Linked DNA regions of Arabidopsis thaliana. The main gene of each other region encodes a partner of the protein of the gene in region 4 in a complex. Each region holds a gene or a part of one and is shown on either strand. Other genes may lie near its edges.

Region 1 (8,582 bases), on a different chromosome or scaffold from region 4:
AAGAAGAATTTGGTATGACACTTATGCAAACCTCCAAAGATGATTGCTTCAGAGATTGGGCTCACCAAATTGTTCCCTCAGTGATTCTCGGGTTATTTCATGTCTCTGCTTTCTGCTGATGTTGTTTATGGACGGATCATGAGAAGATTTTGATCCGGAAGATAAATCAGAACGGTTAGGACTGTTGCTGTTGTAGATATACACATAGTGGATCAATCAAGATTGTGTTTGGTTCTGTCTTTTGAGCAGTTCATGGTCGGTTTTGATCGTTTACATTGTTCATTGTAGGAATCTTGGGTTTGTAGTATAGGCCTAACAATACATTTTGATTGTACAATAACCTTTAGATCAACAGTAATAGCATCATAAAAGGATTAGTATTAACTTCCAAGTCCTATAAAAGAAGAATCTGTGTCTACACAATATCATAATACAAACTTTGCTGGTTTTTAATGGTTTTATGAATCAGTATCATACCTGAACATTGTGAAAAATTCTTAGCATTTAACAGAACAAGAAGAAAATCACTTGGTTCATCATGAGGACGAGAACTTTTGGAGTTACAAGTTAATTACTTGAGAACAAGTTACTTTTTCGCTATTTAATCAATGGTATGATGTCCAGAGTTGAGAGATCTACACATTTAAAAAAATTAGAAACAAGAAAATTGGACAAGGAGGGAATAAAAAAGACATACACATATGGGATCAAAAAATTGAAGGCGAGACTCCCTTCAGAACTCTATGAACAAAACCACCCTTCTCTATCTGCAACTCTTCAAAAGGTAAGATGATGGGCTTGAGTAGCCTCCCGGAGAAGCCGAAGGTACCTTAGCTTTCCCTGGTGTCCCACAATCGCTGAAGTCTAAGGCGCGACACTCCACCTGCATTCCACAGAGAATTGGTTCACAGTACGTCAATTTATAAACTCAAAACTGTTATTCCTTTTAATCTACCAAGTTCAAGATCCAATTTCAACATTAAGCTAGACCAGGTGTATTGATTAGAGGACTTGATCAATTTGAAACTTATTGAGAGTTTGTATGATATATAAGGTGTAAGTTGAAGCTGAAACCTGGGATCGGTTCCCAAGCTGATCATGAGGCTGGTGCTGATTTTCTTTCCCTTGAATGGACTTGTTCAGCTGTCTCTTCTTGAGTATCGATTCAGGTGTGTCATTACCCAGAACTTCCAAGGCATCTGCATATGCCGTAGCTGAGTGTTCACTCAAATGCTTCATCAGTCCTATGGCATCATAACTTCTCTCGCCGGGACTCATAAAACACCCAATATCCTGGGAAGAAAAAATGATAAACAACAAAGAAGATACGTCCATTAACAGGCGCTTCAACTTAAAACAAAAAGTAAAACATCCAGAAACTAAATTTATTCCATCTCATATTTACCTCAAATGTGATTTCTGGAGGCAACTTTGGACTTTGCAAGAAAGAACCAAAGAGTAAAGGAGATTTCCAAGGTGATGGGGTATCAAGGAGTTTTCTGAACGGAGTTCCATCAAATCTGGAAAACGAGTTGTACCAAGACAACTTAGGTTAGAACTTTCGAGCTAATATGATTCAATAGCAAAATGAGCTATCAAACACATACAGAGGAAAAGTAAAACTTACATGTTGAAGTTTTCAATATCAAAGCTGGTCTCTGCAGTGTTAGTTTTATCGATTGCAGATAAAGGAATAGAGTCCACTGTGCATAGAGGTTCTGATGACATTTCTTCTGTTGGAAAATCACCTAATGATATTTTGTGCTGGTTTGATAGATCTTTCGCACTTGCATTAACTTTGTTATCTGGTCTAGCTCGAGTCATACCAGGAGAACACAGTCGTAACTCAAAAAAACTTCCAGAAGTTTCTTGGTCCTGGTACAAGGGCAAGTAAGAGATTTAGAGATTAAAGCTTATAAGATTACGTTATGGAGATTTAGACCAACTATAAAACTATAATCCTCTACAAAGACAGCTGAAATAACTAGATGCTATCTGTTTGAGCAAATGTGATTGATACGATCTCACATGAAGAGAATTCAACATACTAGATGATGTGTTAAGCAACAAGAAGTTCACTAATAGACTCAATAACCATGTACCAGACATTGCACCTTACAGCTATAGACATCAGAGAATGAGATGACTGGGATTTTATAACTGATACCAGATAATATGCAAGGACAAAGACGGACTTACATTTTTAGCTGAAGCACCACCGTCATTACATCCATTTTCATTTTGCATAGAAGTCACTCCACCTGATTCTAAGGTTTCCTTTGGTTCCTCATCTATCGGAATCATTTCTTGATATAACCGAGCTGATGCACAATTTCTGTTATCTCTGGCTATGGAAGGGGAGGCACATATATTTTTATCTTCAGGAGACTCTGACGGACGAGAGGTCATGCAATCATCTCCTTCATCAAGCATTACATCTAAGCGCGAAAAATCATTAGCCAAGGAGGAAGTCGCAGCCCTTTTAAGCTTTTTGTCTTTTCTTCTATCAAGCACAGGTGAAAGCAAGTCTCGATGCCGCTTCTTTAAGATGGATGGTGCACCACTAAAACTTTTGGCAGTATCATTAAGCATGACATCAGGGCTCCTATCGTGACACGGTGAATCCCATAACCTTAACGGAGTTGTACAATTCATTGAAGAAATCATCAACTGACGGATACCAAAGGGACTGTACTCTTGCCGTAAGTCACTATTTGATGGTACAAGATCACAGCTGAAGAAAGGAATATCTGCACTTGGAAAACGTGGAGGTTCATAACAAAGAGCTCCTTTGTCTTTTTCAGCCGGCTTATCGTCAATAGGAAAATAAATCTTGTTCACTCTAGAAGGAGAAGAAAAACTATTCAAAGGTACTAGCTTCAAAGAATCCTTGGGAATATATGACAGCCCCTGTTGTTCTGGGAAACCACCATTATCATCATTGCCATGGGAAGTTACATGTCCGTAAGTATCGATGAAACCGTCATTTGTATCAGTCTTACATTCTAATTCGGTAGCTCCAAAAAGGCGACAACCTTGTATAGGAGCGTTGGAATCATTACGGGGTAAAAGTGAGTCCTTCAAGTCTGAATCCAACAAAGGGACACAATTATGACCCGCCAGGCCCTCAGAACTTGAAGGATGCCACGGTAAAGCTGGAACTTTTCCAGTTTCATGAGCATGGGTTTCTGCAGCCTGAGAACAAAGAGATCCTTTGCCGTTTTGAGGGTCAACCATATTCCGACCTTGCTCACCAGAAGATGTACTGCTATCTTTCATGTTATCTGGAAAAAGAACCCTACAACACTCCTCATCCGTGATCAAAGTTTGAGCTTCTGGATCTGTGTCCGAGTTTGACAAAAAAGGTTGATCACTTAATCTTACTGAACTTTGAAAATCTTGTTGAAGTGCTTGGTTTTTTCCACCGTTGTCCATGTTATGGGTCAATAACTCTAGACCACGGTCCTGTTTAGCATCATTAGATACACCCGGCAATTGATCCTCCGTAGCTGTGGTAGTTCTTAGCTCGTGAGAACAATTAAGATTCTGAAACTTCTTCGAACATTCTGTTTCACAAGAAATTTCGGGGACAACAATTTTGACATCTTTAAAGGAAGGGTAGTACGGTTCTGCATGAGATGCAGCGTTTGAGATTTGCTGCTCCGTTCCTGAATGAAATTCAGGCATGTAATATTCCTCATTTCCACGTTGAACTTCATCTTGTAAATCGTTGGTTGATTGTGAGAAAACAGTTGAAGCTTGGCTGCATTCTGATTCCTCAGCATCAACCCCTGGCCTTGAACTACCTTCATCTCCATTGCTGTGCATCCACGAGGAAGATGAAGCGATAGATTTGTTCTGAAGGGCAATTAATGGCGAGCTTTGACACTGATCTAAAAGACCTGATGCATAGTAGGAATCCAACTTCTTCTTAACTGAGCTGTTCCAATGATTTTTTATCGAATTATCTGACCTACAGGAACGTAAGAAAAAATAAGCAAATCACCAAAGCAGGAACGATAGACCACAACTACCAGCATCAAAAACCTATTATTTCATTTATGAGGCCACCAATTTTACGGACATGTTACACCTATGTTGTTATACTAGGACCCATGGAAAAGACATATTTACCTTCCTGGCAAAAATTTCATAAGCTCTGCCCATTTATTCCCATAAATTTGATGCGCACGAATAAGAGTCAGTTCCTCTTCCTGAGTCCATGCATTTTTATTAATCCCAGGGTTAAGATGGTTATGCCACCTACATCACCCACAATATTGTTTATGTGCGTTGAAGTACCACCCAATGTATGTAAATATCATTTTATCGGAAAGAAGTTGAGAGCCTTTGCATTACCTTTCCCTACATTGCTTTCCTATGCGCCCAGGTAAATGCTGAGATATAGTAGACCATTTCTTTGGCCCATATTTTTCAACCAGGTCAATTATTGTGTTATCCTCCTTCAAAACATGGAAAAGTAATGTCATGGAACACATTACAAATGCTAAGGTGTATTAGACTCAAACCGAGTAAAGCATATAAAGCAATTCACAAAATCACCTCTTTTGACCACGGTCCTTTCACAAGCTCTGGGTTCAAGACCTTTTGCCATCTATGAAGACACTGAACATCAGTCCGATCCTTAAAACATTCAGCTGAAAAGGTGAATCAAATAAAACCACATATTACTTTCACCGTACTAACTAAAGACTACAAATAAACATGGCAGCTAAAGTAGATTATTATTGATATGATCTTAACATACGCTGGAAAAACAAACTGGGAAAACAAGAAGAAATCAGAATTTGCTATTCGATTTACCTATCTTCTTCCAGTTCTTTCCTTGAAAACGCTCAACAGCTTTACACAAGACTTCGTCCTGATCCAGAAAAACAGAATTGATACAACAGAAAACTTCATAGAGACGAATTCTTCAATAGATGCAAAGGATAGCTAATGTCAACTAGTTAAATGGAACTGTGCGAAGCAACAATAGGGTGTTACAGAGACAACTGATTAAGCTCAGGCAGTGTTCCAGGATACATAATATGAAGCATGGAAGAATCAGATAGACAACAAAAAAGACACAGGAACGGAACGCACCTCTTCAGGTGTCCATTGTCCTTTGGTAGATCGTCTAGCAGGGCCAGATGTCCTCCTATGAAAATGTCACAAAGAGCTTGCATCATTATTAACCTGAGAATGTCTAGTTGAATGCAAAATTTGGTGCCAAAAGCAATCCAACTTCAACATTGAAACCCAATAGAAGAAAAGGAAGAGAGATGTAAGCGTACCCTTGTTTTCCTTTGAGGTCACCTTGGAGACTCTCTAGTGGAGTAGTAGGTGCTTTCATCTCACGCTTCATAGTTAGCAAGGAAAGCAATATGAAAAACCCCAAAGTCCGTTTCTTTGATATGTCTTAGAAATCATCATAAGCGAAGCACATTGCTGTAATTTGAAACAAAGATAAACCATAAAATTAAAAACACAGTCGGACTCAGACTAAGAATCAGCATTAGCTTCACAGCAAAAGAGCAAACTAAAGTCAAAACAAGGAAGAAGTTCACAGAATGAAGAAGGTAGCTTTAGATATTGAGATTGGATCCAAAAAAACCTAAGATAAGAAGCCCGAATTAGTTTCAGAACCCAAAACAAAAACCTCGAGAAAAAAGCTTCGAACATCATCTGAAGAAAATCGAAACTTTATACGAAAAAAAGTAAGAGAAGTTCAAAGAGTAGATTTTTGAAAAATCAGGAAGAAGTCTCCGTGAAAACTAACAAAAATGTGACCATAATAAGAGAAGGAGACGAGGTCATACGAGTAAAGCTCACACCTTGCAGATCAACGAATTCCAAAATTAATCTGAAGTAATTAAGACGCTGAGAATCCAGATGAAGAAGAAGAAGAACACAAATCGAAATCGAAGTCGAGAGAGAGAGAGAGAGAGAGAGAGAGAGAGAGAGAGAGAGAGAGAGAATGAGAGAGAGAGAGAGAGGTATTCAAAACTCAAACATGGAGAGGCGGACGGAATTCGAAGTGAGAGAGAGAGAGAGAGAGAGAGATCAAAACAAAAAGGAAAGTGATCTCAGCCGTTGATTTCAATCTCTGAATCTCGCTTTTTAGTCTCTCATATCATAAAAGTTCAATTTATTTATTTATACGTTTCTTCATTCATTTTTCTTTCGAGATTCTCTGTTGCTTCTTCTTCTAAACAACGGCAAAGCATTCTTTGTATGAAAGAAGAGTTTTTTTCTCATTAAAAAGGAAGAAGATGAAATTGCCAGTAACAGCTAATTCTAAAATCAGCATAAAAACCTAATAACAATGTAGACAAAGTCAAACGAGAAGACCAAGAAGAATACCAAAACTATTTGATTTTCAAAATTAATTTTAACTACTTCAAGTAAAATAGTGTCATCATCAGTGAGTCAATTGATACAGTTGTAGAATTTACAGGAATATACTTTTAGCAGTTAATATTAATAGTTTGTCTTTTAGAATGCTTCCTAAACATCGATTTAAAATAATTAAGGAAAGAGATGTGTGCATAAGAAGGCACATAAAGCTAAACAAAACAATACCAAATATGACTAAACCAAAATTTGCCAAATAAGCAGCTATTTCTAGTTATAACATCACGAGTCACCAGTCGATACATTAAATTTAAAGTTGCAACTAGAAATATATTGAAAAACAGAAGCAGTCACGAGCGAAATCTCTCATGCTTCCACCTTCTGAGATTTGTTCCAGCGACCACCCGGTGAATCTGATCCCCTCTTTCTCCCGAATCTCCCTCCTCTTCTTCCTCCCCTGCATAGACCAAGTATATTATTATCTGAAGAACCAAACAAAAACTTCATTTGAAACAAAATCATAACAAAGAAACCAGAACAAAAACATGAACTCACCTTCCTCCACGGCCACCCTTGTCAAACCGATCTTTGCTTCGTAGGAGAGTCCAATACTCCTTTTCAGCTTCGCCTGACAGAGAGCAATATAAACAAGTGACCATTTAACTAAAGCAGAACACAAGGTTTAGTTATAAGATAAGATTGAAGTTGAAAAGGTGTTTTTACCAATAACAGGTTCTAGGACAGCAATAAAATTCTTCACGGCTAGTCCACCTTCATTGGCTAATACTGCTGCTGCACGGGCTTTCTGGGATGCTTCAGGTTCATCAAACCTAAGATAACCCGTCTCAGATCCCATCTTGAAATCAACAAACTTCACAACAAAAAGAATAAAGGAATCAGTGAAAATGATGTCAGTTATATGAGATATTGAATCTGATTCATGTTGACAGACAGCTAAGTAAAACTCAAGTAGTACCTTGACATCACCAAATTTTCCGAAAACAGCCTTAAGATCTTCACGTAAGACAACATCCTTATTATCTTTATGGGTGGCTAGAGCACCCTTTTCTTCTTTCTCATCATCTTCATCCTCTGCTCCCTCGGCCTGAACCTCACCAGTGTTTTCTTTATCAGCATCAGGAGTATCTGCTGGCTTTGTTTCACTTTCTTCCATTGTCTTATCAGTTGGCTCCTCAGAACTTTTTTGTTCCGTGGTACCCTCTTCAGCTGAACGCTTGAGGGTGAATGAAATGATCAAACCCTTGGGATAACTACAATACGATAAAATAGCCATAATCAGATCAAGAGGATTATTAGCATGAAAAGACAAGTAATTAGATAGCAACAGTCAAACCCCTACTCTGGCTCATAAGCAGAATTGTTTTTGTGATCAGAACCATTCTTCTGATTTGCAGATCCCTTCTGAGGTTGGTAATTAGCAAATTTTACTTCATCCTTCTCCCTTTCATTATCAAACTCTTTCCTGAAAAGAATATATCACCTTTTAAGTAACCCATCCAAACATTCAATGGAAAGACTTGTAAAATGAGAAACAGTCAGCAAACAGGACATGTTTTCATGTCTAAGTATGATTACTTTGGTTTCAGCTCCAACTCCTGACCAGCAAAGACCAAATTCTGCTTCATAACATTCTGGGCATCCTCTTCTGTAGGGAACTCAACCAAGGCAACACCAGAAAATATCCTCGACTCTGCAACATGACGAGGCATCCTCACACTATTAACCTGCAAGGACGACACATACATATACCAAAAACTTGTATAACCAATCTAAATTTTGAACAATGGCTTATGATTCAATCGATAGTGGATTACCTTTCCATACTGACTGAAAAAGGATTCCACGTCTTCCCTTTTAACATCATAGGAGAAAGGTGACGCAGCTACTGTTCTAGCATTAAGTTGCTCAATCAAATCTTCCAGCTTCAACAATTCAGTACTCCTACCAACCTTTTTCCCTGTTTAAGAAAATCCAACAAAATTGATCACTAAACTGTACAAAACATATTTCTCCAATCTGACACCACATATTATCAAACTTGTAAAATCCACATGCAAAGACTTTTCTTAATGAAACTAAGTTTAAACTATGCACTACACAGGCCATTCACCTATAATTGAAACTCTCAAACTATTATCTTTCTTCTAAGATATCACTACTTCGTTTGAATCAATTAAAGCAATTGTTAACTATATCCAAACCCA
Region 2 (6,866 bases), on a different chromosome or scaffold from region 4:
GTTTAACCAATTTACACTTCAAAACTTTTTGTGCAGTAAAATATTATCGTTACGTTAGAGCTAGGCTTTGAGGTATAACTTTGATTTTTGTTGGTGTTGTTTAATAGTTTACATCTAGTCATGGAATCATAAATTGAAATTATTCACAATATTGTAACATCTATATATAGAGAGAGATATGAGGAGGATTTAGTTCCTCATTTTGAAGAAGTTTGGTGTGAGTCATCATCATTGTTATCAAGAGGATTGTTAACATATAGACGAAGCAATCTCCCAAGTGACTTCCCACGTCGGTCGTGTGGTGGTTGGAGATGTGAACAGACGTCGACAAAAGCACGGACGATGAGATTGTGTTGAGGAGAAGGGTTTATGTCCAAGAAACACCTTAGAAGCTCCTTAAGTTCACTTTCCGTCTCGATATATCTCTCTTCGATCATCTGATTCATCGACTTCTTGTAATCTTCGAACGGATTGATTGATTCTTTAGCCATCGCGACGCTCTCATCGATCTTAGGACATGGGCTGCGTAAAACCGTGGGAGAAACCGGTGGTCCCGGGGTGTAGTGGCTGTGAGAGGAAGGTGGAACGGTAGAGCCGCAACCGCATGCCATAAAAATGGGTTTGAATATGGTTTTGAGTATATACTTCATCATCTTCTTGAAAGACATTTTTTTTTTTACTAGAGGAAGAGAAAACAAGTTGAGATTATTGAGTGAGGATGTTGGTGTGGGAAAGTTTGTTAAAAGAGGAACCTTTTTTTCATTTAACTTAGCTTGGAGATTCAGCATTGCTCATTGCTTTGGAGATGCACAATTTTGATGGATTTCTTTTTTAAGGAAAATAATACCATCTTGAGGTGAATTCAAAGTTATATATGATATCATTTGTAAGAAACTATCTCGAGTGATATCAAAGGATTGGACATAGAAACCGATTTGAACCAAAAAGAAATCTCTCAAACCACAACCGAACCAATATGTTTTCGTCAAGATTTTTGATGAACGGAAATATGTTTTAGTTTCGATCTGGTTACCTTTTTGGTAAACCGGAAATGGAGCATGTAAAACTACTAAGCACCCGTCTACAACTCTAAAAGGTTTTGCAGTTTCACATGAACAAGACCAATATTAAGAAATCAATGGGCTAAGGCTAATTCTATATTAAGCCTGAGAAGCTAACAAAGAAAAAAAATGAAGAATACAACGAAGGGGTTGGTTTCTCTACTTTTATTTTGCAATCTCTATTCTATGATAATGCAATGCAGCTACTGTACAAGTACAACATTAACTCTGGTTTCACCGAAATCAGATTCTATGTACAGATATATGGTGGTGCTTGTAATGTGGTATGGTAACTTCAGCTACCTGTAGGTGATCTCGTAGCAGTGGATTCTTCTGGTGTTGGGCTCGATGGAGTTTGTGGCTGCTCCAAGATTTTGTTGTCGCTCGGTCCAGCGTGGTCTTGATCAAATGTAATCATCTGGTTCCAGTCTGGTCCAGCTAATGATGAAAGAGTCAAGGAGCTCTAAACAGATATCATATTTGGGGAGGAAAAAACTCAAAAGCTCAAAGAGAGATTAGATTAAATCACAGAAAGTGATAGAAATCAAGGATACATTCATCTGGCCACATGTCTGTGATGCTGACTTCGCCTACCTCTGATCGAAACCAGTAATCTACACCCATCTGTATATAATGTAACATACAGGTAAATATGAATTAAGTCAAGCATGATTTTTTAGATATGGTTACTTTTCCAGACTGTGATTATGTACATTGGTGAAAATTTTAAGCTGAGGAAGCAGTTGGGACTTACATCCAAATCTGGAGGAACAATCTTCATGATACCATCGACAAAGTCATGAGATTCGATGTCAGAGTAAACTCTTTGCGTATCATCAACTTCCTGTGTTTCCATGTTTCTTTCGGTGCTTTCCTCTTTCATCGGCATAGATACATCATGGTTCTCAGGGAGACCAGATGTTGATGGAAGATTTGAAGGTACATCAGGGACATTAGAGGGTTCATCAGGAACATTTGAAGGTTCATCAGCCTGAGGAATGTCCTCAAAGCTCTCTTCGAATTGACTAAAAAAGCACAATATAAATGTCAGTCTCACTTCCATGTTACAGATTTATCCAGGGCAAGCATAACGTTTGAGGACAGTGTTACCTGACTAGGTACACGTCTATTGGTCCCATTGTGCTTCTCAGAATGATTCTGTACCTCCTCTGATAACCACCAGCCTGATTAATGGCAGGATAAGAGGTGAGAATCGTTACAGACAGTGCATCGCTCATTTGGTTTTGTGCGCTCTTAAGCTTACCTCATCAGGATCTGGAACCTCAAGAGTTGTTCCATGCGGTGCCTTTACAGCTATCAGCGTCTTATTCTAAAATAGGCACCACAAAAACATGTTTCCCCAGTGAGAAGAATGCAAGGCAAAGAGAAACACGTAATTACTAGAAGGAGACCAGACCTGGAAGCATGGTAGGTTCTTAATGTCGTTTTCAGTGACGAACAGTAACCTAAAAAGTGGAGCGTCAGAACAAACAGATATGTTTTATTGTACCTTTCGGCAGAAGAAATAGCAGGGGACGCTTACCTTTTGTTGTTTTCATCCTCACTCAAGCTTGTTAATCTTTCTTGTGATTCTCTGCAACCAGGTCGACTCTCAAAAAGATGATACAAAACAGCAGAAAAGGGAAGGAAAATTATCTGCGAAAATACCTGATTTGGTCATCTAATCTTGCCTCCTCAGCTGCGAGGTTTTGTACTTCATCCTGTAAGATTGGTAACAGGAATTATAAAACATGAATAGTTTTTCGAACCAAAAACCCAAAACAAGAAATCAATGCAAGTGACTGAGATCGAAGAAAAACTGCAGTACCAATTTCCACTTATTCAACAGGTTCAAACATAAAACAGAAACTCATCATTCAAAGGTGCCAGTACGGGTATACAAAACAGAGCTTGTGGTTACATGTCATCGATGTTTGTGTGTATGGTAAATTTACTAGTATCCTAGTTACCTCCTAACACATTTAGCTCTCAGAAAACAGGCATAACAAGAATCATACTAATGCAGATTCATACGATGTTCAAGAAGACAATGCAAGCTAAGATATACCCTTAACGTGAAAACAATAATAAAACTGGTGATAATACTGAGCATTGCATAACAGAGTTCGCAGTGAAATGTGCAATGAAAAGGTAAAGAATATATAGGCATGTTCTGTACCTGTAGGTTAGCTATGCTTTCGATTGTTTCTCCTGGTTTTGAGACATCGAGACCCCTAAGACAGACAAGAAAATTCAGAGTACTGTCGCTCACACATGAGTCATCAAATGGAAGGAATCCAAGATTTGACAGTTCTAAGACATGCTTACTTCCACTGAATCCTGTTCTTAAGCGTCTTCTCTATCAAACCTATTCCTTCTAACACATTGGTTATATCATATATCCTTCTCTTTTGTACCTGCATCAACAGGAACATACAGCTAAGTTTGACAGAAAGTAATACATCAATATGGGAGTCTAGAGTTCAAATATGTCACCTCTAAAGTATCAGCTGCTTTGTTTAGATCAAGAATACCATCCTCTGCTTGTTTTATCAAATTGATAAATTTCTTTGTCAAAAGACCTGAAGCAGATTAAATCATTAAAAAAACTTATTATCCAAAAGTACATTTTTTAAACATTAGTTAATGAAATAAGTTATTACCTAACGAACTATCATATCGACAAGTACCGGCCTGTGCAAAGTTATTTCCAGGAGAACCTGCCAACACAAAAGATCCTTCTCACTACATTGCAATATCTCCACTCTTTAAAGAAGATTTAGCTCAGATGAGCACATAAGAAATATTTCTCATTGGCATACTAACACAGAGCATTTAGAACCAAACTCACCTGCATTAGAGCCAGAAGCTAGCGTTCCAGACTTATTAGACTTCGCAGACCTAGAAGTTTTCTTGGCTTTCCCCCCTTTCCCTGATACAGGTGTTTGAAGAACACCGGTATTCAATTCATTGACCTCAACTATTTGGTTTACCAAATCTGTCTTACGCTTCAGCTGCCAATAAAGTCACCAAAATTGAACAGTTAAATACATCAACGAATTGAACAGAATCAAATCCTATCAGCATCATACTGTCACTATGCTGAAATCTAAAAGCATAGACACAACTTTTACCAATTCCAACATAGCAAAATTCAGAAACTAATTTAACTAAACATAAACACAAAAGTGCATGAATCTGCTCTAAATAGCAATAACAGTAACACCACAAACCCTAAGTCCAGCAACTAAACTACTCAATAAGTACTTGCAATGCTAATTCCAATACTACAAACAAGGTTAATCAAAAGAGACCAAACGCAATTAACACCAACAGAAGCAGATCCCGACACAATTCTCATCAAAATCTAAAGCAACGACATCATCAAAATCATAATCAATAAAACCAAACCTCACACACAATCGAAAACACGAGAATTATAAAGCAAAATTCACAAGCAAAATTGAGAAGAAAAAAGACTTACAGTAGATTTGATCACAATCGCGTCAGAGACAACCTGATCAGCAACAGCTCCACCACCGCGAGTCTCCGCCGCATCAAACCGGTGATACTCACCAGGAGCAACTAGAGGAGGCTTCATAGAAGAAAGAGAAGGATGAAGCTGCCGCTTAGAAGATGGGAATTGTTGAGGTACTTCTTCAGACATAAGAACGAATCTCGATAAAAAATCCCCCAAAAAAAAAAAGAAACGGCGAAAATTGTCACGGAAACTCGGATCTCCGGTAAGCAGAGATCCCAATAACGATTAAGAAGCAGATCTACGGCGGGAATTACGGAGATTCCGGGAAGAGAATGTGAAGAGATCGGCGAATCGAAAAAAAGCGGGAGAGGAGAAGAAGATGAAGAAGAGGAAGGATTATAAAAAAAAAAAAAAAAAGAGACGGTGGAAGAGGAAGAGAGAAAACGAGGGAATGAGTTGCGTTTGGTTCTGAATACTGATGTGGAGGGAATTAGCGCTCTTTATCTCTCTCTTTGTACACAAATCTTTTTACCAATATCTCTCTACTAAATAATAATAATCCTATTTTTATATATAATACAAAATTATAAAATTTTAAGTAAGTTTTTTTTTTTTTAAAGTCAACGAAGTTAATAAAGCTATGTAACTAATTTGGATACAGTTTTATTTCCTTGAGATTGAGGGGAAAAAAATGAATTTTGGATTTATTCATGTTAAGAAGTGGAGCATAATAATTTCATCAAACTGTTGCAGCATCCGTTACACGCGTTAAGTGTGAGCAATTATCGTCAAAATCTGTCGAACTTATACGTTTTTTTGTTTTTAATTCATAGGTGAGGCAAAACTATATTGATGAAAATTATGCTCATGAGTGTCTCATCATTTAACAACTTTTTTAAATGGAACCTCGAAACATAGGGATTCCAAATCATAGCACCAAGACAATAGAAACATGTGTCGTCTGAATGCAGACACTTGGATCTCTTATGAATGCTATACTGTTTAGAGAAGATAATATATATTTATAGACTGAGCTTCCAAAACACAAGCTTTAAGTATGACTGTATGAGTAATCAAAAAAGATACTAAGACTTTGAAAGCTTCATACATAACAAACAGAGACAACAATAGAAGAACCCCTTTTTACTTGAACAAATGGGCAAGATCAGGGTCATCTAAATCTACATCAAGCGATCCATTTAACCGCATAAACTCGATGTAGCTATCTGGAGGAGTGATCGCACGAGTGTTGTTCTTCGGTTTGAATCCATGAACTCTCTGGAGATCTCTTGCGAGCCAACGCAGAAAAACTTTGTCCAATGGAGGTACAATCTTCAAATGGATCTCTTCGCGTTCTTCTTTCACCGTTGTAGCTTTGTTTCCCATCTTGCAAAACCCGATCTTTACATACATCATATATAGTATCGTCACATTGTCCAAACCACAAAAACAAGTTATCTAGTCAACAAGATGATTATGCAACACTTTTAGCAGATGCATTTTGGGATTAACACTTAACACAATCTATAATTTCTCCATGCACACCAATATTGCAAGTGTGTAACATTTACATGTTCGGATGCAAATTATCTCGTGAATAACACAATCGTCAATTCGTCATAACCATCTAAAAGGAGAGACTAAAAAGTTCTATAGAAGCTATACACTAACCTTAAGGACCATCAAAACCTTAATTAAGAGACCAAACTATTATACATCAACCAAGTAATCATCTCAGCGTCCATTTTTAAAGCTATCTTTGTTCCACTATGTCCAAGAATCATAAGATCCTCGAGCAAATAAATTGTACAAGATGAGACATCTATGAACCACCAATTCAAGGTCAATTCTTCAAGATGATTAACATGATAATATCAATTAGAAATCAACTCATTCATGAATACTAAGTCTACATTTAAAACCCCTAAATCAATGAGAAAACTGGAGAAATTACTTCAAATTTCTATCATCACTATATACCCAAAAAATCAGGTAAAATCCTAGCCAGCAAATTAAGCTTAGCGATATGATATAGATTCAAGAGATTTTACCTTTTTCAATCAGAGAGACAAAACATCAGAAACCGAAAGTGAGTCGAAGAATTTCTGACCAGACAGACACTATAGAGCGTTTTGCAGAGCTAAACCAATGTCGTATCGCTAGCTGTATGTCATTTTCTGGGTTAAGCCTAGTAACATAAAAAGCCCATTAGCTTTCACTTTTTCTTTGGGCCAACTGTTATGGTTTAAATGTGGAAACATAGCGACGAATGCTCAAAAAGGTGAACTACACTCTACAGAGACTACAAGTGTGGGTTTAGTTGC
Region 3 (8,324 bases), on a different chromosome or scaffold from region 4:
CCTGTTGCATTGCAAGAAATCTATTTAAGAAACGCGTAAGAAATTCTTTCTGACATAAAAGAAGTTGTTGTAGGTATGCAAATCAGCAGATGTTGCGGGGAGAGTTGAAAGCCAACTGAAACTAGTGATAAGGCCAATGTACTCGAGTCCTCCAATCCATGGTGCATCAATCGTGGCTGTAATCCTCCGTGACAAGAATTTGTTCAACGAATGGACTCTGGAACTGAAGGCCATGGCTGATCGTATCATCAGCATGAGGAAACAGCTTTTCGAGGCATTACGTACTCGAGGTAAGTAAGGTCTTATTGATTTGTATAAGGAATGTAAATGGACATAGCTAATGAAATGAAATTCAAAATCACTGTGACAGGCACTCCTGGAGACTGGAGTCACATCATAAAGCAGATTGGTATGTTTACCTTCACAGGGTTAAACCCAGCTCAAGTCTCCTTCATGACTAAAGAGTACCACATCTACATGACATCTGACGGGTAAGCGCCTGCCTCTCTTCTTCATCTATTAATTTTCTTGAATTTTGTCTAACTTAGTGTGTGATGATTGATATAAATGAACCAAAGGAGGATAAGCATGGCTGGTCTGAGTTCGAAGACTGTACCTCACCTTGCAGACGCTATCCATGCTGTTGTCACCAAAGCCGTCTGAGAAACTGAACACCACCATGACACCAAAGCTTCATAATAAAGATTTTGTTCTTTTCTTTCTATTATAGCATTTCCGGCAGTGACAAGATAAATGTCGTTACTATTATTATTGTTTCATCCCAGTATCAATAAAGTACGCAAGAAAGCTTTTGTGCTCTCTCTTCTACTATTGCTTACAACTCTTTTTTGGTTTCTTATAGAGTCAAATGTTTAAGAGAAAACATTTGAGATTTAAGCTGGTGAACTTGAATACAGTTCATGTAGAATCTGAGGTTTTAGCATATGACGGAATTGCAGAAACTATTTAGATTAAACTAGCAGAGAACAAGAATAAGTTACTGCAGTTGGTTCGTTTCACAGAGTATACGGACGTGTACTCATTGCAGGCAAATGAAATATGTATATATATATTGAACACAGAATCTACATAAATTCACTCCAATTGATCCATTAAAAAGAAACAGAGAAAAAAAATTGATCCAGCCAGGGATAATTCATAAAAGATGCACATACATATTTATACATTGTTCATGTATGGTGCATTTTGCATATTATGTATAAGCTTTTGGCATTTTACCTACATCCCTTCAAGAGGTAGGATGAGACTTCTTCTGTTGCTTTGATTGGAGACTCGCAATCGTTGAAGTCCAGCACTCGACGCTCCGCCTATAGATTGAGAAATGTTCAAAACACAAAATCAATGGAGCACAAAACATTTTTCTTTGTTTCTAGAACTATAATCTCAAAACCGTCTACTTAGAGAGTGAATGATTTGTAGAGTATGTATATATACCAGTAGAGGATCATTATTCTCTTTATCCAATTCCTTCTTCTGCCTCGCATCATCATTAGTAGGTGAAATTGAAACCTCCATTGCATCTGCAAAAGCTGCAAATGCACTTGTATGTTCATTTATCTGTGTCATCACTCCTATGCTCTCGTAGCTTCTCTCCCCAGGACTGAAAATGTAGCCCATGTCCTGAAAAAATAAATACAATTAAGTTGCCTAAGGATAACATGTCTATATATTAAAAGAATTTGAAATTATGCACCCATGAAGTAAAAATGTTGAATATAGGATACAAGGATCTTAAGGCATTATCAAGTACCTCGATAGTTAAATCTGTGTCAAACCTTGGGCTGGGCAAGAGAGAGTTTATGTAAAATGGAGATTTCCAGGCTGAGGGAGATTCAAGACCTCTCCTGAATGGAGTTCCACAGAATCTGTAAATGGAAAGAAGAAACAAAATCATTGTAGCAAGAAATGAAAGCAAAAAGAGGACAAGGAATATTTTAGTAAGGGTGGTATAGATGTACATGCTAAAATTCTCATTGCTTGTCCCATTGTCAACAAGATGACCCTCCTTGTTTCTCGCTCGAGAAGGCGAATTAATCACTAAACAAACACTTGAAGGGGAATGATGTTCTTTGTTAGACGTAGCCATGAGAGTTCTTTGCAACTGATTTCTTGGGGTTGAAACTTGCGCCTTCTCTGCTTTAGTAACTGACTGACCAGGAGTAGACAGGACTGGCTTACCGGTATTGTGCTCAGAAAGAATACCAGAGAAAAATTCAACCTGCATAAGATTTGATCCATCATAAAGGTTATGTATGTCAGTTACATCTACAATCTATTGCTACAATGACGATTAAAACTCACCAAAACAATGAAGATTTTAACACAGGTGACAAAATGACATGATTGGCGACAAAATCTAAAGGAACTGAGTTTGTGTAAACCAGTAGCACAACTTATATTCAAATGGTTAAAGGAAAGAAAGAGACTTACATTCTCAACATCTTGTTCAGAATCATCCTTTTCCCTGACATTTGCCTCCATGCAAATTTGGTCTACTTTCTCAAGCGATTTTCTGATATGCATGGTTTCTTCTGGCATTCTGTGACTAAAGAGTGAAGAAGGCTTGCCACTCCATTCTTCACCGTCTCCATTCAAAATGTGAAAGTGGTTTTCTCTATCTCCATGGATGACACCAGTGCTATTTCCAAAATTAGATTGCCGATTCTCAGTCTCATCAAACATCACATCTAAACGTGAAAAGTCTTTTGCCAGACTGGCTGCTATATCAATTTCAAGCTTTTTATCACTTCTTTTCTCAGATAACGGTGTCAGCAGATCACGGGTCCGTTTCCTAAGGATTGACTGTGCACCAACCAACGTCTTTTTCCCAGTGGGAGATTCCCACAGTCGAAGGGGACTCATGCACGTCATGGTGGACATCAGTAGCTTGCGTATGCCAAGTGGGCTATAATCGTGTAGAGGATCATTTTTAGATTGTAGAAGATCACAGTTAAAAACAGGTAAGTCGAAGCTTGGGAAACCAAGACTTGATGATGCCCCCATATCCTCATGATGCTGCTCGTTTGTCATGTTTGGCTCATGCTTAGGTAGAGAGTGTGGCCTATCTTCTGCCAGAGAAGCAAAATCATTCACTGGAACCAACTTTTTGGGATCATTCACATGATATGATTGATCTTCTTCGCTGGAGTTATTGGTCCCTTCATCAACACAAGTGGAGCTTGATGGATCACCGATGCATATGAAGCTACCATTTCCATTTGTTGTGCACTTTGGTTCTACCTCAAAGGGATGACATATCAATCCAGATGACTTCTTGCTATACTTGTCTGGTGATATGATTAAGGGAGCTGGCCGAAGAGTTCCTTTTCCTGAGGCGGCCGTTGCAGTGAACCTTGAAGAAGAGCTCTGCGTAGGAGATTTTGTAGCTTCTGATATCTGTCTGTCTGAAGCTGATGAATACAAGATAGGATCTCGACGGTCTACCTGGTTAAACTCGTTTGGCTCTTGGGTCAAAGATCTAGAAACACTGTGCCCTTCACTCTCTTGATCAGGGAAAAGTACCCTGCAACATTCCGTTTCAGGTGTCAAAACGTTTGCTGAGTTGGTGTAAGTAGCCACATCAATATTTAATGTGGAGTTTGGAGCTCCCAGAGTAGATTCCTTGCTCTCCTTGGTGTATGGCATTGGTATTTCTGACATATTATGTCTCATCTCGAGTGATATATCTGATAGTTCCTGAAAATCAAATTGGTAATCCTGGCTTGGAGAAGTCGAGACATTATGATCAGGAAACTGTGAACAGTCTTCCATGTCATAAGAGACTTCGGAGATGGAGACTGAGATATCCTCCAATTCCGGATAGTAAAACTGCTCTGAATGATACGCAGTTTGCTCATTCTCTTGAGAGTTTCCACAGGGGTGGAAATCATGCCCAATATTGATAGTTCCATTTTGAAAGTCTCTTGCAGATAGTGAGCAGCCAACCATGCTTGAATTTTGACGGCTGTCTATTTCGTTCTCTGCCTGTCCATTTAGGCAGCCATTTCCATCTATATTACTTTGCATAAAAGTTGATTGTAATGTAGAACTTCTCTCATAAGGAGCTAGAGGCATGGCTTGGTACTGATCCAAAAGGCCAGACGACATGTAGGAATCAAGTTTCTTCTTGACTGAACTGTGCCAGTGATTTTTAATTCCATTATCCGACCTGTTGATAACATAGCAGAAAACTATATTGCTAGAACAAATAGAAGAATACCTTTAAGATTGAATAAATATGTACGATGATTTTTCAAATAACAATAGAAATGAGTACCTTCCAGGCAAGAACTTTGTTAACTCAGCCCATCTATTACCATATATTTGATGAGCACGAATCAGAAGCAGCTCTTCTTCTTGAGTCCAAGCTTCTTTGTTTATGGCAGGATTGAGATGATTGTGCCACCTATATCAGTAACAGCCTTCACAGTTAAAATCTTGAAAAGAGGACAAAAACTATATAGTGCTAGTAAAACACTGTTGTTAGAGAAATAGCTGTCTCTATAAGCATACCTCTCTCTACATTGCTTTCCAATACGGCCAGGTAAAAATCGAGCAATAGTGGACCACTTCTTCGGCCCATATTTTTCGATTAACTGAACGATCATTTCATCTTCCTACACACATGTCAAACGAGAGCAATAAACAGTCATCAGAGATGTTTGCAAATTCAAAGCAAACAGTGCAAGATGCACATGTTATAGAAATAGTGGAGGAAAAAACTATGTCACCTCCTTCGTCCAGGGCCCTTTAACAAGTTCAGGATTAAGGACCTTTTGCCACCTGTGGAGGCACTGGACATCAGTTCGATCCTTGAAGTATTCAGCTGAGAGTTAAGAAAAGATGTGACATGCATTTAGACAAGGAAGATTACAGTTCACTTCAGTAAATGAATATAGAAAGGAAAGAATGTCAACCTATCTTCTTCCAGTTTTTTCCTTTGAAACTATGGACAGCTTTTCTCAAGATCTCATCCTGAGAATATGTTTGGTTAAAATGATTTAGCAAATATGCAGATCATAGAATGTAAAAATGCATATATCCAAATGTCTACTTCTTGTATCTCTCATGATCAATGATATCATGCAAATGAACAAACACAGGGCAGAGTTTTGTTGCATATATCAAGAACGTGAGACCAGATTAATTGGCTACATGAACATAGGATTGGAAAGAAACTTATAAGAAGAAGCTGATGGAAACATAAATTTCACCTCCTCAGCTGTCCATTGGCCTCGAGTTGAACGTCTTGCAGGGCCACTAGTCCTCCTGTAAAATCCACACAATTGGTCATGCAACTCAATTCTAGGTGTGACAAACATGTCAATCTAGTAGGATATTGTGGCAAGCTAACAATTTATTAGTTAGTAAGATATGAGAAAAAAAGAAGCATACCCGTGACGCAATTTCGGGATCCGTTCCTGAGGGGTTGAAGACTCAGCTTCCATAACTAGTCAATGAAAATGCAAAAATAGTCACCCCAATTCCCATACGTTGCCTTTCTTCTCTGCAATGTTGTAACTCCAAAACATTATATTTCAAAACTACTATTCCCTCCTTTGTACCATCTCACAATCTTCCTAAGATAAATTGTAAAGAAAAAAAACACTAAGGATTCAGCTCCAAAAAAAGTCGGTCGCTAATCAGGACAAAACATACTCGAAGCTTGAAAATAATTACAATGACTACTAATTGTGAACTTTTGTTCGCAGTCATTTTTAAAAAGAGCAAACTATTTAGATCAAGCAGACAATAAATTCAAAATCAAATCATACCCAAACCAACCTAGATTCAAATATAGAACCATGGAGTCATAAAACAAACCTATGCGAGCTTCAGAAATGGAAGTGGTTCATAAATCGGAGAGAGACAACGACGATACCCAGAAACTGGAGAGACCAAAATGCCCAAAGTAAATCCAATCAAAAACTAGAAATCTCCTCCAATCGGAGATAAATGTTCACGATCTGAGTTAATAAAGAGAGATTAATTGAAAATTTTCCCAGAGAAGATAGATAAAAGAGAGAAATCTAAACGGTCGGCAGAGCTATTTCAAAACAAGACTGGCGGAAATTCAAAAATGTTAAAGTCTCCTTCTTCAACAAACCCTATACAAGTCAATAACGTTTGGTTTTTTTTTTTTTTTTTTTTTGAGCGGCTCTCAGTCTTAATCTCAGCCGTCCATTTTAAATATTTTCGGTCACGTGTCTCCTATCTTTTTTTAGTATTTAACGGACATAATTATTTAGTTTCTTATCCTTTATTTTCCCTTCTTTTTCCCTTTTTTTCAAATTTTCACTCAGATTTATTTAATACCCTTAGATTTCCAAGTACACCAACAGTTGGATTATTGATTCAAATCACTTTAGGGGCCACCATAATTATTTCAAATCATATATCATCAACAAGCCAACTATGGTCGCTAAAAAAAAGTAGTCTAAGCACTAGTGACTAGCCCCGCTAACTTACAGTAATAACCCGATAGACCCACTGCAATCACGAGACAGGACTGTTTAAATTCAACCCGCAAGTTTTAACAATAGCAACTATGGTCAAGAATAAAGTGATTCCAAAACCCAACCCAATGCAGAGTAACACATGAAGCTTTATGGGGTAGTAAACAAATTTCAGGTTACACAGCAATGCAGAGTAAACCATAATTGCACCAGATCACTGGTTCACCTGTGTCATATATAGAATATAATGCTCTCCTTTTTCCCACAGATCAGATTCAATCCTTTTGAAACATTTCAATGGACCAAGGAGTCCAAGAACCAGATTAGGGTTTTAGGTATTCAAGATTTTTTTAAAGAAAACATAGAACCGGACAACCATCAACATCATAGTTAAGGCGAGTAGAACATCATAAGCCTTCTTTGAAGGACGGTACCAGATCATCTCTGGCAGAATGTTACCGACTTGGTTTGTTTTGTTTCTCATTTCTTCAGAGCTTTTACATGAAATCGTCTTCAAGTTCTTGAAGCGATTTGTTGCTTGAAGCAATGTCTTTGTTGGATGTCATTTTATCAGTTACCATTAGTCCCTTGTAACTCCTCATCTCTGATTGCCTCTCCTTCTCAAGCCTATCTATCTCTTCACGTTTCTTCTGCAAAATCCAGAAACAACCGAGGATTTCAGTCAAAACCCTAATCAAAGACGTTTAAGATGATAACGACCAAAAACAGACACTGACCTTCTCCCTCAGATGTTGTTTCCTCTCTGCCCTTTCTGCGGCATTCACTGCTTCTCTCTCGGCTTCATCAACACAGTTATGAACAATCAAATTATTTTCATAGATCTTGAAGTTATACTGACTGGAAAAACTACAGACACTTAACTGACACTTCATCAGCAGGAAAATTGTTAAACGAGAAAGATGTATGCATGATCAATCTTCTACCTATTAGAATCTGAGGAAGAGCTCACAAAACAAATACTAACCTCTCAGATCAGGGGTTCTTTCAACTTTTGTTTTGTTCAGTCTGTTAACTATTTCATTGACTCGCTTCTCCACTCTGATAGTCCGGACCTGAACGAAACAAATATGAGTTAGGTATCAATATCATCGAAGCTTTACAACCATACTTTGAGCAGTTTATGTATGCGCAACCAAAATTTCTTTAGAGATGAAGAAGCTTACCATCTTTGAATTGTGGAAACCAACTTGACCAACATCCATGGAGGCAGTTTTCTTCAAGTTGGACCACGGAGTGTACACAACATCAACGTTGTTCACCTTGTTGCCTGGCACATAATCCCAGACACCAGTCGGTAAGAAAACAGAAAAAACCTATATGTGCCCTCCTTCTAAAAAACAAACTGGTACTCTAAGACTAATGGTTATGCAAATGTTAAGTTCACGACAGGTAGAAAAAAAGATTACCTTGAATGGAGTTAGCTTTCACAAGCTGAGCACAGTCCTCCAGCACACCTTCACTAATGTCATCAAAACTTTGGCCTCTATGAAGCCTCAAGTAAACATGAGCTGACGACATTTTATCCACGTGAAACCTGCATCAAATGAAAATTACTTTTAGCAGCTTGGTCGTGAAGCTCCTAAAGTTTATAAGAAAAATAAAATATTCAAATTAGAAGATAAAGACAACCTATACATGTCTAAACACATCAAAGATTGACATTAGCAAAAAAAGAATGAGTATAGAGTAGACATGATTTACCATAAGTTTACTCATACATCCCAGTTATGAATAAACTTACTGAACCGCAAACGATTTGCTCAGCAGCATATGATCAATAGAAATGCTATGAAACTCAACTCTAGTTTGTTTTTGAAAAAAGGAAGA
Region 4 (6,333 bases):
TGCAACAATAAGTAAAAATGTCTAAAACTTTAAAATGATAATAACTCTTGGCAAAAATATATATAAAATAATAATATATAACAAGTTTTCATTAGAAATTATGTTATAATATTCACTAAGGAAAGTTTATATACGAAATTTTAAAACGTAAAAAGTATAAATGCACTTTGATAATCATACATATATTCATGAATAAATAGATCGGTCTATTTTACACGAGGCTATGCTTTTTTGAGTTTTTCAGACACTTAAGTTTATGCCTCCCATTGGACTTGATTTTCAGAATGGAAGCGTCTTTGCTTAGTGAATAGATTGAAACCACTGCTAACTAACACTGAAATGGTTATCAGGTACCTTCATTTAGTTTCGAATTAGATTATTGACATTTGATCTACTTCGAATTTCGACCAACTGTAAAATGTAATCCAAACTATCGAATACGTGTTGAATTGTTCTTCTCGTCAATTTATTTGTCAGCTTTTTCTGGTCAACTTTGGTCTCATTAATGATTGGCTACTTGGACCCTCTTGTCTCATTAAAAACGGTGCACCCTTTATAAATAGGAAATTAAGATCGACGGACCATATATACTAGTTATCAAATGACGTCGTAACTCGTAAATAAGTACTAATGAAATCGAAAAAAGTGATGTTTTTTGGGATATATTTCAAAAGATCACTATCAAGGCACAATCAAGAAGCTGAGAAGTTGCATAATATGGTCATTTTGCAAAACAAAAACCATATTTCATATAGGGAAATACTATATTCTGGGTAAAATAAGATACAAGAAACTGATCTCAAAAGCTTAGAAGTAAAAAAAAACACACTCGAAATCTTCTTCTTTCTTTTTTTTCGTAATAGAATATAAGTAGGAAACGAACTCAGAAAAAGAATAAACAAAACCCATTAATATTGTTCTTCATTTTCTTAGGATTGATAATTATATATAGAATGAAGGAGATTACTGGTTTTATGCCTTTCTAAGGCATGCCTCCAAGATCCTTGAAGTATTCATGCTCCAGGGCGGCTCTTGCGTTGATTCTTTTGGTCGGATCCATTAACAGCATTTTCTGAAACAAATCAAGCAGAGAGATATATTATCATCTTTGCTTTCACAGGAGCTCAAAATCTTAGATTTCTATCCAGATGTCTGGTTTGGTTAGGAATTTCAAGAATCCTGGTTTTTGAAGATTGTTCATATTTCAAACAAGTTTGGTTTTGGCTTCATGTGGTTTTGAAACTATGAAGCCTAATCGAATTGGTTTTAGTACGCCGGCTCTTGATGACTTTATAAGACATCTAAAACCTCAAATGGTTAAAAGGTTTTTAGTAAGAAACATGAGACCAGATCCATCACAATCAAGCATACAGGTCTCTAATAGCAGAAGTAGTGTGTCTATATATGTGTGTGTATATATCTAGCTCAGTGAACTTACAGAAAGGAGATCGACTCCATCGGGATCTAGATTGGGGACAAAAGTTTCTAGGTCCTGTGGTATAAGAAAAAAAAACAAGGGCAAGAATTAATATATGTTGTGAACTCTTGACTACTGAAGACAAGATGTACAAGCGAATAAAGACATTTGAAGTACCGTTGGTTTCCATTTAGGGAAAGCAGATTTATAATCCGGTAGAGAAGTTACCCCACGCCATGTATCCTCGTACGGAGTTCCCATGATTCTAGAAGAAGACAACAAAACAAGGCAGTAACAGATTTATAATCAGTTAACAATTCAATTTCTGTGTCCTTTACTACTTCTCCAAAATGTGATATCAAGTTGAAAATGTTTCCACAATCCCTTGTGATATCATTGCAGACAAGTCTTTGCACTTGTAATATATAGAGGAATATTGGACTGGGGAAGTTAGCAATTAAACCTGAAAATCTTGAAGAGTTGATCAATCTCGGAGTCTCCAGGAAATAAGGGCTTTTGGCTGATCATCTCAGCAAATATGCACCCCACAGACCAAATATCAACAGGTGTAGAGTAATGATGAGATCCTAGGAGTATCTCTGGTGCTCGGTACCAGAGAGTAACAACCTAAAGGAACAATATGCAAAAATTGTGTGAATAACCAGGAAGAGATCTGAAATCTGGATGTAGCATTGAAATATTTTACAGTATCTTGAACTAGCTTACTTCAACCGTCTATGTGAAATGGCTTAGTCCTTTTCATCACATTTATCAGACACATAAGTGGTATAATACTTAATTTACATTACACTCATAAGGAATGCAGCCAGCCAAAAGATTTCATAACGGGAACATATGAACAAGGAATAAAGCTCTTTGGTACCTCATGAGTAAATGTCCTGACAGGGATACCGAATGCTCTGGCCAGTCCAAAATCAGCAAGCTTCAGTGAGTTTGTGCGGCGATCAATCAACAAATTCTGTGGCTTCAGATCACGATGGAGAACCCTATGAGAGTGGCAATACGCAATTCCACGGAGAATCTGGTAAAGATATGTCTGAAAATAGTGGATGAACAGCTCTGATCAGCTTATATTGAGTATTGAGTTTAAGCACATATATAAAACAATGCCTAAAGTTTCTTAGCACTCACTTTGATCATATGTAGATCCTTGGAGAAATCAGGAGTAGAATCCATGTGCTTTTTGAGATCCAAGTCAAGATACTCAAAAACCAGATACAAACGTTTCTCGCTGTGCACCACATCCTGCAATCTGTGTAGCAAAAAACATCAATCAAAATTGTTTACCAGAGTCATCATGCTGAATCAGTTTTCAACAATGGTATTAACATCATACTTGACAATGTTGCTGTGCTGCATTTCTTTCAAGAGGGAGATTTCTCTGATTGCTGTGCTAGGAACACCTTCATCCTCCTGCTCTAGCCTGATCTTCTTCAAAGCAATTGTCTCATTAGTCACTTTGTCACGTGCCTTATAAACCACACCGTAAGTTCCTTCACCAATCTTCTCAACTTTCTCGTACTGCATTAATAAGAGCACATTAACAGAGACTCTCGTCAAAAGAGTAAGAACTGAAACAACTATTTACACCAACCTGATCCATCAATTCCTGAATAATAAAGCTGAAGTAAACTCCACACTTATAAAATGTCACCTGTAGATTGATAATGACACATCGATAATAACACATCAGAGGCTATATTAATTAAGCTGTATATCAGCACACAACAATCTCAAAATTAAAGTCAAATCTACACAAAGACGCAAAGAAACAAATCAATCTCAGATCCGAGCTACTGTGGATTTGATTCTTTGGACAGAATTATGAAAATGAACAATCAAACAAGCCAGCTGAATCCAGAGCAGCGAACTCATATATTATCAAATCCATAGAAACATAGAGCTAAAGCGAACAATCATAAACACTGATGACAAAATGCACACAAGCAAAACCAGTCTAAATCTAGTGAAACACTAAGAAACGCCACTGAAAATGCAAAACGGAGGAAAACAAGTAGAGATCAGCGACGAAGCAGTAAGATAATTGAAGATGGAGAAAAGATAAAGCGTTTGATGAATTGACAACAAAGTTCAAGTCAGAATTTCGCACGGAAAACAAGTTCCTCCTCCGGAAAAGAAATTGATCGGAGAGTAACGAAATCAACTTACCGGCGACGATCGGATGTAGTGTCAGTGAGACTAGCACACCGACGGATCCTCTCTCTTCTCTGTGGTAAAAAGGCAGTAGAGAGAGAAGGGTGGTGGTTTTCTGTGAAAAGCTTGAAGAGAGGAGGACTAGGGAAGGGGATTGACTAATTGAGAGTAAGGGTTTTTTCTTTCTTCTTTTTTTTTTTTTGTGTCAAGGAAATTTTGTTCGTTATTTTTTTTTTCTCTTCTTTAATTTCCAATAAATTGAATTTACCTAACCGCATTAATTTGGTACAATTTTATTTATTATACCGGGTTTGATTGGTATTCAATGATAAAAAAATATATCTTTTATGATGAAAATGGTTTGCTATCTTATAAAATGGTATATGAACCAAAAAAAAATCATTGCAGACCAATTATAAATCAAGAGTTTTGGTTTTACATTGGATTGTTGTCTATCTCAACGATCCATTTGACAAGCAAAATTGTATGTCCGGTTTGCTGTAACCATTTAGAATCTAAGTTAGAAAAAGACGTTTTAGATCATAAAAATGAAAATGGAGAAACATATGTATCCTGTAAGTCTTTGGAGGACCAACCAAAATATAAATGGGCAATAATATGAAAGTTGTTTTAATTAAAAAATATGTCAGTAAACAACTCAACATTTAATGTAAATAATAAAGTCTGGCACCTTGGACCAACACAAAGATAAATGATCAATAATATGAAAATCATATGTTAAATGTTGAGTTAAGAGACGAGTCTTATTCATGTGGATCTTCATCAATGCTGATTTTAGTATCTAAATTTAGTCTTTAGCAGTTATATTTATATAATAATATATATAGTATAACGTTCAATATAACCGATTTTACAAAAAAAAAAATACTTCCCAAAATCCTCGTTTATTTCGCACTTGCTCACATAAAATTTCCAAATACTTTTTTTATAAACAAACCAAAATTAATACTTGCAAGAATAACGTGAGTAGAACGAGAAAAAATAAACTATTCAATAAATCACCCTGATATTCTGATACTTTATGAAAGAAAAAAAAAAAACTCAAAATTTTGTAACTAATTAAAGAACACAAAACTTTTCTACGATATATATATCTTCAAAACTTTTATCCCAAGAGTTCAAAAATATTAAACATAAGCCGATCTCGTGATCAATTTTTTAAGTTATTCTCTGAACAAGCAACTGCCATATATTAACATTTTTAAGTAATCAAATATATATAATTGGTGAGAATTGATTTATTTTCAGATATTTCTCACATTTGTATATTTTGGGAGATTAGATATATAAAGTTTTTTCTGATAAAAGAGCTATACGGTTATCAGTTGTAAGTAAGGGAATTGGCAAAACTAACCAACAAAAAGTTTATAATTAAGAAACTAACATCAAAAGGAAAAAGAACTGATATCCTCTATATTTTGTATATTAATTCCAAGTTTACCCCTTTATCTATTTTTCTCCATTTCTCTTTCCGTCTACCTCTCTCTTCCCTTCTATCTTCCCTCCCTCTTTCTCTCTCTCCCCCTCTCTCTTTCTCTCTCTTTCTTTTTCCCTCTCCCTCTCTCTTTCTCCCAGTAAAGTCTTTACACCTACCTCGTTACTTGTTTTTGTTTTCAAATCAGAGTCTCTTAATTACTTTTGGGTGAGATTTGATTTGGGGGTTTCGAATTACAGAGGGAGGAACACAATTTGGATTCAGGGAATCGACTTTCGTTGTTGCGCTTGGTGTCTTGGTGATGAAATTGAGTTTCGTTGTTGCAATTTGAGAGATACTATTCTATTTGTAAATATACTATTTACGTATACTTTGTTTTATATACGTTTTAAAATGAATTATTTGTTTTGATTAAGGATGTTAAGTGATTTAATTATTGGTTTAGATTTAAACTCTTGGGTTCTCTATATATTATCCTTTAGGGTTTAATATCTTTCTATAAAAAAATATTGTTTATCTATATAGAACTTTATGTTATTCATTGACAACACTATTCACATCTAAATTATTTTATGTTTGTTTTCAAAAATTTAAGTCATGATATATGTAGAAAACTATACAACTTTTTAATTGATATATCATGAACTTGAATTAAATTTTTTAAGATCAGATAATATGAATTACAATTGGGAAGGGGTAAAGAAAAAAGTAAGAGAAAATGGAACTTCTATCCTACCACCTGATTTCTTTTCTCACCTCAACACCAATAATAAAGCCACGTCAGCTCACACTAAACATTCTCCTTCTTCGCTGCCAAACGTAACAGCAGGACAGTGATGTCTTTTCACACCCCTTGAAGGTTATTTACTACATTTTTAAATTTATGGTGTTAGTTAGTTAATTATTTAGTGAAAAAGTGCTATATCTACAAATCACCCTTGTAAGTATTGGGTCGTAAGTCCTGACAAAAAAAAAACAGAAGTTGAAGGCCCAAACAAAAAAAATAATTGAAATGTCGTCAAAGTCTCAAAGAAAAAAGAAACATGGCAGTGACAAAAAAAAATAGTCAATCAGCAAAAAAAGGTCCTACCGGGAGTCGAACCCAGGTCGCTGGATTCAAAGTCCAGAGTGCTAACCACTACACCATAGAACCGAGTGGTTCACATACGAAACTTTTATTTATATACCGGTTACTGAAAACGATTAACAAGAAAATAAATTCATCTAGAGTAGCTAAATGAGACACTACATAACACTTTTACGAATAGTATAGTTTTAAATTAAA

The links.
Region 1: CDC2 (region 4) and PC-MYB1 share a complex: the UniProt entries of both Arabidopsis thaliana proteins name them as parts of the DREAM-like complex.
Region 2: CDC2 (region 4) and E2F1 share a complex: the UniProt entries of both Arabidopsis thaliana proteins name them as parts of the DREAM-like complex.
Region 3: CDC2 (region 4) and MYB3R-4 share a complex: the UniProt entries of both Arabidopsis thaliana proteins name them as parts of the DREAM-like complex.

Annotation. Positions count from the first base shown.
Region 1 is NC_003075.7:15,787,825-15,796,406, reverse strand, and holds PC-MYB1 (Homeodomain-like protein), read right to left. Parts: upstream 6,275-8,582; 5' UTR 5,838-6,274; exon of another isoform or gene 5,823-5,837; intron 5,452-5,822; 5' UTR 5,369-5,451; coding exon 5,298-5,368; intron 5,162-5,297; coding exon 5,107-5,161; intron 4,883-5,106; coding exon 4,825-4,882; intron 4,659-4,824; coding exon 4,564-4,658; intron 4,464-4,563; coding exon 4,360-4,463; intron 4,264-4,359; coding exon 4,135-4,263; intron 3,974-4,134; coding exon 2,200-3,973; coding exon of another isoform or gene 2,155-2,199; intron 1,876-2,154; coding exon 1,628-1,875; intron 1,521-1,627; coding exon 1,406-1,520; intron 1,294-1,405; coding exon 1,075-1,293; intron 884-1,074; coding exon 764-883; 3' UTR 491-763; downstream 1-490. Other genes in the region: La1 (La protein 1), read right to left, coding at 6,724-6,814, 6,913-6,985, 7,081-7,228, 7,334-7,628, 7,718-7,840, 7,954-8,102, 8,193-8,335. UniProt on the Arabidopsis thaliana protein: Transcription factor that binds 5'-AACGG-3' motifs in gene promoters. Transcription activator involved in the regulation of cytokinesis, probably via the activation of several G2/M phase-specific genes transcription (e.g. KNOLLE).
Region 2 is NC_003076.8:7,358,611-7,365,476, reverse strand, and holds E2F1 (E2F transcription factor 1), read right to left. Parts: upstream 4,943-6,866; 5' UTR 4,729-4,942; coding exon 4,546-4,728; intron 4,076-4,545; coding exon 3,913-4,075; intron 3,782-3,912; coding exon 3,725-3,781; intron 3,644-3,724; coding exon 3,558-3,643; intron 3,479-3,557; coding exon 3,390-3,478; intron 3,296-3,389; coding exon 3,241-3,295; intron 2,783-3,240; coding exon 2,730-2,782; intron 2,656-2,729; coding exon 2,605-2,655; intron 2,528-2,604; coding exon 2,479-2,527; intron 2,392-2,478; coding exon 2,326-2,391; intron 2,246-2,325; coding exon 2,172-2,245; intron 2,087-2,171; coding exon 1,816-2,086; intron 1,686-1,815; coding exon 1,616-1,685; intron 1,500-1,615; coding exon 1,357-1,499; 3' UTR 972-1,356; downstream 1-971. Other genes in the region: OFP10 (Ovate family protein), read right to left, coding at 198-788; AT5G22210 (aspartyl/glutamyl-tRNA (Asn/Gln) amidotransferase subunit B), read right to left, coding at 5,686-5,928. UniProt on the Arabidopsis thaliana protein: Transcription activator that binds DNA cooperatively with DP proteins through the E2 recognition site, 5'-TTTC[CG]CGC-3' found in the promoter region of a number of genes whose products are involved in cell cycle regulation or in DNA replication.
Region 3 is NC_003076.8:3,677,596-3,685,919, reverse strand, and holds MYB3R-4 (myb domain protein 3r-4), read right to left. Parts: upstream 6,173-8,324; 5' UTR 5,845-6,172; intron 5,601-5,844; exon of another isoform or gene 5,528-5,600; 5' UTR 5,469-5,527; coding exon 5,416-5,468; intron 5,290-5,415; coding exon 5,235-5,289; intron 4,996-5,234; coding exon 4,938-4,995; intron 4,847-4,937; coding exon 4,752-4,846; intron 4,638-4,751; coding exon 4,534-4,637; intron 4,427-4,533; coding exon 4,298-4,426; intron 4,190-4,297; coding exon 2,452-4,189; coding exon of another isoform or gene 2,287-2,451; intron 2,240-2,286; coding exon 1,980-2,239; intron 1,887-1,979; coding exon 1,772-1,886; intron 1,642-1,771; coding exon 1,456-1,641; intron 1,329-1,455; coding exon 1,236-1,328; 3' UTR 1,036-1,235; downstream 1-1,035. Other genes in the region: ASP3 (aspartate aminotransferase 3), read left to right, coding at 74-290, 371-491, 579-663; AT5G11500 (coiled-coil protein), read right to left, coding at 6,974-7,126, 7,214-7,275, 7,462-7,549, 7,661-7,764, 7,904-8,031. UniProt on the Arabidopsis thaliana protein: Transcription factor that binds 5'-AACGG-3' motifs in gene promoters. Involved in the regulation of cytokinesis, probably via the activation of several G2/M phase-specific genes transcription (e.g. KNOLLE). Required for the maintenance of diploidy.
Region 4 is NC_003074.8:18,068,946-18,075,278, reverse strand, and holds CDC2 (cell division control 2), read right to left. Parts: upstream 3,826-6,333; 5' UTR 3,608-3,825; intron 3,093-3,607; 5' UTR 3,042-3,092; coding exon 3,033-3,041; intron 2,960-3,032; coding exon 2,775-2,959; intron 2,691-2,774; coding exon 2,570-2,690; intron 2,475-2,569; coding exon 2,301-2,474; intron 2,045-2,300; coding exon 1,881-2,044; intron 1,683-1,880; coding exon 1,595-1,682; intron 1,493-1,594; coding exon 1,439-1,492; intron 1,073-1,438; coding exon 983-1,072; 3' UTR 638-982; downstream 1-637. UniProt on the Arabidopsis thaliana protein: Involved in the control of the cell cycle. Essential for both G1/S and G2/M (mitosis) phase transitions. Functions in cell morphogenesis as well as cell proliferation.